Cricetulus griseus: one gene and its partner. The protein of the gene in region 1 interacts with the protein of each later gene in a biochemical or structural test. Links are inferred from orthologs where the notes say so. Each region holds a gene or a part of one and is shown on either strand. Other genes may lie near its edges.

The links.
Region 2: the proteins of Nsf (region 1) and Napa form a complex in vitro, tested with the Homo sapiens proteins (2 studies listed by BioGRID). The link is inferred for Cricetulus griseus from reciprocal best matches to the Homo sapiens genes NSF and NAPA.

What each region holds. Positions count from the first base shown.
Region 1 is NC_048600.1:116,949,244-116,953,057, reverse strand, and holds part of Nsf (vesicle-fusing ATPase), read left to right. Parts: intron 1-2,053; coding exon 2,054-2,209; intron 2,210-3,814.
Region 2 is NC_048602.1:10,775,517-10,779,330, forward strand, and holds part of Napa (alpha-soluble NSF attachment protein), read left to right. Parts: intron 1-1,118; coding exon 1,119-1,165; intron 1,166-1,708; coding exon 1,709-1,786; intron 1,787-1,962; coding exon 1,963-2,018; intron 2,019-2,088; coding exon 2,089-2,173; intron 2,174-2,827; coding exon 2,828-2,932; intron 2,933-3,814. UniProt on the Homo sapiens protein: Required for vesicular transport between the endoplasmic reticulum and the Golgi apparatus. Together with GNA12 promotes CDH5 localization to plasma membrane.

The DNA of each region.
Region 1 (3,814 bases):
CCCGCACTACACGGAGTTGTTCCGTGGGACTCTTCCCATCTCTGACACCTCCTCAGAATTTCATGATCTTTTGTGACCCGTCAGCCCCTCAGCTAATTGCTTTGTTAAATGAAATACCATCACTGTTCTTTAGTGATGGAGTGACGAGTGTGTGCTTAAACTCCTCCCAGCATATTTAGCTTTTGCTTACTTGCCTTGCTTTGATATGTTAAAATAATGCAGTTTAATCTCTCAGAATAGCAACTCATTTAAATAATGATGTGCTAACTGGAATTTATGGTTGACATAATTATGTTCATGTCTGTCCCAATGGAACAGAGAAGTTTTTCATTGGCTGTCCAAAGTTACTTGACTTTGTTTAAATGTGGGTTATTGTTTTTGTTTTTGTTTTTTTTAAATCAGTAATTTACCAGTCTCTATTGCAGTTTGTCTTTTACCTTTTTTGAAAAAGACTCTCTTTTCCATTGTGTGGTCTGTGCACTGAATACAGTGTACGGAGGCCGGAAGACAGCATCAGATCCCCCTGGAACTGGAGTTGCAGATGGTTCTGAGCCTTTGAACATGAGTGCTGAGAGCCAAACTCAGGTCCTCTGCAGGAACAGTGTATCACAGTAACTGCTAAGCCATCTCACCAGCCCAGACACGCCTTGAAAGTGTGGACCTCTTGCTCTGTATGCTCTGCATGCTAGGATTGTGCCACTGTGCCTATGGATAAGCATTCACTAAGACAAAATTCACATTCTAAATTTCATTTTATGACTTACCTTATGTAGTTATTGTGTGGGGGCATAGGCGTTTGGGCACATGTGACATGTTACATGTGCTCAGAGGATAACTTTGGAGAGTCAGTTCTTTCTGTCTGTGAGGGATGGGATCAAACACAGGTTATCCAGTTACAAGTGCCTTAATTCACCAAGCAAGCCACATCAGTAACCCTTAATTTGCTTTTCTTTGCTTAACATGTTTCAAGGATCTTAAATATATCTCACATTATGATTTTAATGCCCACATATATCCCATTTTTAAGATAGATGTATTGTAATTTCCTATTATGGACACAGGATGTTTATGATGTGATTTATTTATATTTTACTTTTGCATGATTTTTGTTAAAATATCTTATCCCAAGGCAATTCTATAGCGTTTGGACAGTGTAGGTGTTTTCAAGGAACTTATGAGATGTGATTTCAGTTGGAAAATGAAATTGCAGTAATTTGGCATGCAATGAGTCTGACCACAAGAGGGCAGTAGAGCATAATAAAATATTTTTGATTTCCTTCTTAAAGGAAATCTTAAGTCTGCAAAACTAACCAGAAAATTATTATCTGCAAATTTTTTAATGTGATATTTTCTCCCTCAACTTCATAAAGTCTATGTTTCCCCTTTTGTTTAGAGTGTGCCAGGGTACCCTGTTCTTTGTGTCTGAAAAAGGTGTGGTTCTCTTGAGTTACCTTAGGTGGCACTCTGACATCTAAATTAAACAATTTTTATCTTTATGAGAGAATTTGTAAGTATAACTTCTGCAGTCATTAAAGCCTTTAGAATGTTTTTAGACTTTTGTGTACCTGTGACAAGACATCAAACTCATTCCATACATCCTAGGCTGAGGGGCTATCTGCCGCCATACGCTTCCCCCGGGTAAATACATACATCTTATATCCACTTACCAGGGGCTGTGAGCCAGTGCTCAACGTCAGCTACATCCCTGGAGCTGGTGGGATCTGCGTCAGATACATGCATGGTGTTTCCTTTCATCAACTAAGTTACTTTAGTTGGATTAAAAGTTAATGAATCGGAATTCCGTGGGCTGACTGCAGATAGACTAGACTAGCATACGTTTAGTTAGTTTGGGAAGTTTATTACTGACCATGAATGGAGAGCAGACAAAATAGGTAAGTCAGTCATACCCTTCTCACTGGAAAAACCAGCCTAGTGCGTGCTGTCCAACTTTATGGAACAGCTGTGTGTCAGTTCACTTAGGTCCAGGGGGCATCTGTCCTTTTTATACTTAACCCCGCTGTTTTCCTCACAGATTTGTATTTGTTTGACACAGGCAAAGCTAAAACCAAGGAAAATCGCCAGTCAATCATCAATCCTGACTGGAACTTTGAGAAAATGGGAATCGGCGGTCTGGATAAGGAGTTTTCAGATATTTTCCGACGAGCATTTGCTTCTCGGGTGTTCCCTCCGGAGATTGTGGAGCAGATGGGTGAGTTTCTGACCCAAGGCTGGTGCTCCTGAGGAAGCACACAGCTGACAGACGCTTGCCAAAGTAGTTCTGAAATGATTTTTCAAATCCACCTGAGTAATACTGATTTTAACTTCTTTAAAAAAACAAAAAACAAAAAAAAAAAAAACTTGTTTCATGAAAAAACTTCAAAATATTTACTCTTATGGGGGAAATAATAGAAATAATACAGTTGTTCCATTTTATTTGTTTAGTTTAGTGTTTTTCTGTGGGCAGTTTTAGAAACAGTACCTCATTCTGAAGACCTACTGTGGGTCAGACTTACCTGTCCAACTGTCACTATCCATCCCTGTGGACATTGCACGGACGCTGGCTGCTTTCCGTGTAGTTCTACCTTATGGCCCCATCAGCACTTCCTCGAGTCTAGTAAATGGATACTTGGCAAGGTTTTTAATTAGATAAGTCTGATCCCCAAAGACAAATGCAGGAGACATATGGGAGTTTCCGTACCGCATGTGAAGAAATACTCGTTATCTTCATTTGTCACTTTTCTCCTGAAGGTTTATTTAATTTATCAGTGTGAAGTGATTTTCTTTGCCCAGTGGAAATACTGTCAGAACTGTTTTCATATCCGTATCATTCGCTGGGTTGGAATGTGAACAGCCGAGTATCTGAGAAAGGAATTCATAATAGCTTCTTGCAGACCAAGTGTGAAAACAGGATCCAAAAAGGTGGAGGAATACAAACGCACTGCTTCCCTCTCCTTCAGTCCTTCTCTTTACACTGCTACCGGGAGATAATAGTATATTCATGGTGGGTGAGAGCCGCTTTCCGGGCGCTGAGCTCTGGGCTGCATTAGCTGTCTGGCTCGGCTGCTTTTCTGCCTGGTTGCTCACTCTGGTAAATTACAAGCATAGCACACACCTGTTCACTGGGTAAAGGTCGAGTTTAGAATTGGATTAAGTCAAAATGACAGAGACCCTCATCACCTGAGTTTTCTACACCTTGAAATGGCAGTGACATACTTCTTATCTGGAAGATACAAAGGCCAAATCCATTTTTTTTTTTTTTTTTTTTTAAAGCCACTAGCTTGGAAAGTTGGAAGAAATGTGGCATTCACTGTCCCTTAAAGTGTATTTTGAGGACCGGTAAATCCTTAAGGTGTTTTGATCAAGACATGAAAATGTTATTTAAATATATTTTAGGTAAAAATGGAGTTCTCGGGATAGTTCTAAATGTTGCATTAGTCTTTGGACTATTTTTACCGTGTTCGTGACTGAGGGCTGGGAGAGGGTTCAGTGTCTTTGATGGTTTGTGGGGTCTAGCCAACAAGGAGGAGAGCAGCTGCTCCTGGAGGGTGCTGTACCGTGAGTGTGTTACTATAAATGTCTTCCCACTACTGAGGAACCAGTTGTTCAGGCATTGGTGTCCCGTGTGTGCCGGCCCTCCGACTGAGGCTGTGGTGTTAGTGCATCGGGGGGCAAGCCCTGCCAGTCCATTTGTGACTCTGCCACCTCTCAGTTGAAGTTAAATCAAGCAGGATTGGCGGTTACCCTTGAATCTGATCAGTATGATGTGTTTTAGATGAAATGAGCAGGAGGCCATGTTTGTGTGCACTTGTGCTTG
Region 2 (3,814 bases), on another chromosome or scaffold:
GGACAGGCTGAGCACAAGAGGGTGGGAATAGACCAAGGGCCCTACTATTTACCTTCAAGGTTTCACTGAGGCCTGTGGCATCAGATAAGCCCTGTGGTAAGAGCAGGCCCGGGTGTCAGCTGGCAGCCTACTACTTTCCAAGCTGTTCCCAGAGCAAGGGGCCAGCATAAGAGGACTAGGCCCTGTGAATCCATGTTTCTCCCCCACTGCCGTGGCAGGGACTGTCCCACCAATAGAGCCTATGCCAACAGACCTTGGCTACCGAAGTCTCCTCAAGAAGTAGCCTTAGCATCCTCATCCCAAGAGAGTCCAGTCCACTCTCAGCCCGGGGGCAGTCCTGGAGCCTTCCCAGCACAAGCCCTCTGGCCCACCTGGACCCTCAACCCCGTGCCTCCCCCAACCCCCATCCTGAGATACATTAAAGTAGTTAAAAGATACTGAGAGCTCGTTTCCATCTGCTAGAAAATGCCTCCCACTCACGCCTCTCTCCTCCAAATAACTTGTCCAAAAAAAAAGCCTTCCCCAAATTTAAAATCTTGGAAGAGATGGTACAACAAAGGTAGCCTGGTGCCATCCTAGTGTTGGATACAGCTTGTTATTTGAGCAGCCAGCAGGGTCCCTGCTGTGTGGTTGAGGGCATTGAGGAAAGGACAGTGCTCTTCAGCACTGGGGATGCAGAGCCCCCATGGAGGGGCCCTAGTGCTCGTGGCATCCATCCTTCTCTGCCAGAGAGGCCAGGCAGGGCAGTCACAAGGATAGGACCTACTCAAGGTAGAGCCTCCAGGACAGATGGTGGGCTTGGTAGCCTCTGCCCAGTTCAGCCTGGCCATCCATCAGTTTGCCCTTTGACAGCAGGGCTGTGGTAGTCTGATTCAAACTCTGGGGGAGTCTGGCGATGCCATTGTGCCCTGATCCCACTGGAAAGCTGGAAGTATGGCTCAGGTTGCCTGGGGCCTAGGGCTCCCATCCTCTCCTTCCGGTTGCTCTGAGAGAGCCCAAGAGGCCTGAAGCCAAGGCAGCTGCGTGTCTGGCATCTCCCTTGGGGAGCACAGGCTACCTCCTGTCTCCAGGATCTGCTGTAATGACCTCTCCATCCTCATCTTCTCTTTCCTCCCTAGAGGCCATTAACTGTCTGATGAGAGCAATCGAGATCTATACAGACATGGTAAGGGTTGCTTGCTGGTCCTGTCCTGTCTGTGCTGTGCTGTGCTGTGCTGTGCTGTGCTGTGCTGTGCTGTGCTGTGCTGTGCTGTGCTGTGCTGTGCTGTGCTGTGGGAGGCAGGGAAGTTGGTGGCTGAGCTGGGCTGCAGGATGGGTGTCTGCTGTAGCACACAGCACCCCTCACATGGTGCCTCTGCCCCCTTGTCCATCCCCTCGTTACTACAGTGCCCACGCAGGTGCTTCCTCTTGCCTCCCGCCCTCCCTCCCCCACCCCCGGGTTCTAGGGTACTGTCCTGAGAGACAGCTGCTGGGTAGTAGGCCACACTAGGCCACTGCTCCTGTCAGTTCATGACCGTCCACCGACCCCTTCCTGAGGTGGAAACGCCAGGGTGCTGGGGGTGAGACTGGTCCTAGGCACCCTTTCCTGAGGTGGACACCCCAGGGTGCTGGGGGTGAGACTGGTCCTAGGCATCCTTTCCTGAGGTGGACACCCCAGGGTGCTGGGGGTGAGGAGACTGGTCCTGGGCATCCTTTCCTGTGTCCCCAGGGCAGATTCACGATTGCAGCCAAGCACCACATCTCCATCGCTGAGATCTATGAGACAGAACTGGTGGACGTGGAGAAGGTGAGCTGGGGTCAGGCTGGCTGTGCTGGGGCCTCTGGTGCTCCCGGTCCCGGCCACCGTGATGCTCAGGGGGAGGAGGGCTCCTGCCGTGCGCTTGCGGAAGGCAGGGAAGCTGTGCTAAGGTGTTGCTCCACGCTGTCCTGCACTCCACTTGCCCCATCCTCATGTCTCCTCAGGCCATCGCCCACTATGAGCAGTCTGCAGACTACTACAAAGGCGAAGAGTCCAACAGGTAGCCCCTCCCTAGCCTGCCCCTCCTTGTGGGACCCGCCACTGTCCCTTCATGCTCCTCCTCCCCACAGCTCAGCCAACAAGTGTCTGCTGAAGGTGGCTGGCTACGCCGCACAGCTGGAGCAGTACCAGAAGGCCATCGACATCTATGAGCAGGTGGGCTTCGCCTGGCTGTCAGCGCCTGCCACCACACCCCCTCTGCCTGCCCCACTCAGTCCTCACCCTCACCAAGTGCTTCTTCACCCACAGCCTGTGCATGTCACCACCTTGTCCTAGACGGGTCCTGCCACTCGCTTCTAACAGGAGCTGCCCCAGAGCTGGGTGTCCTCAGCAGAAGTGGGGCAGGAGGGAGAAGCAGAACAGAGCAGGGACTCTGGTCCTTGGTTAGCAGCAGGTGTCATCCGCCCCAGTGACACCGTGCTGTGGGGAGGGCCAGGCTGTGGCCAGAAGATAGGCAGGCAGCTGGTCCTGGGAGAGGGGCGGGCACTGCTTCTCATACTCCCACAGCTGCCACCCTCTGCCCACCAAGTGCCAATTTCCTGTATGGCTGGCAGTGGTGCCTCCTCCCCCACTGACTTGCTGCCAGTGAGGCCCACAGACACCTGGCTTCCCCTACTCCACCCACACCCTCATGGTGTCCTGGTCATTCTGGCAACACTTGGTGACCTTGCTGAGCTGCCCCTGATCCCTGTCATCCTGAGGTCCCCAGGCCTTCCCCTAGGATACAGGCTTAGCTCCTAGCAGACATCAGTGCTGCAGTGACCTTCACTCTTGAGTCCTGCCTGAGCTCATGGTGGTGTGTGACTGTAGGTAGGGACCAGCGCCATGGACAGTCCCCTCCTCAAGTACAGCGCCAAAGACTACTTCTTCAAGGCGGCTCTCTGCCACTTCTGCATCGACATGCTCAACGCCAAGGTGAGCCCACGCCAGCCAGGACGCCTTCACAGGCTGCCACCGTTTATAACCAGGCCAAGTCACTTCTCAGCGTTAGAGGACAGTTTCTCCACTTGGCCCTTGCCCTTTGGTTAGGATGGGAACTAATTTGGCATTGGTGTTACTCGCCCTGGTGTCCCTGCATAGGCCTGGATGCTTTTGTGAGTTCCCAGCTGCTGGCTGGCTCCTTGGTGGCCTCTTCCCCTTCGTGGGTTGCTGTAAATCCTGACTGTCCCATTCAGTTGTCACGTGGATGCTGCTGAGGCCAAGGCACAGTTCCTGCCAGGCCCTGGGATTCCTGGTGGCTTGGCTTTGACTCTGGCTCCGATTTTCAATGCTTCCTGGCAAGAGAGGTCAGGGATAGGGAGGGCAGTGGTTGGTGGAAGGGTCTGCAAACTGGGTGTTGGATATCAATCCTCGGGTGCTTCCGGATCAGACCCCTGGGGCTACATGATGTCTGCCTGAGTACAGCTGGCAGCTTTGCATTTGGGGGAGGTGAAACAGTTTGCTGTTTTTAGTATTTGTGGTGGGCACGGAACCCGAGACCTCATGGGTACTGTGCAAGAGCTGCCACTGAGCCATATCCCCAGCCCTCACCCATGAGTTACGAGCACAGGTCCAACCCGAGCCCCTCCTCCCTCCCCCCCCGCCACACCCACCCACCCACTAGTTTCCCCAGTGTGTGTTTTCCCACTGTCACTTAACCCCCCAAGGTCCTCACAGGGGTTGTGTGTGTGACGGCCTAGCCGTGTGGGCCTGGTGTGTGGGATGGGCTCTTCTGTCACCTTCCCCACCCCCTGCCTGGGAAGCCTGCCTCTTTCCTGCAGCCATCTCTGCCAACTGGATTCAGCTGACTTGGAGATG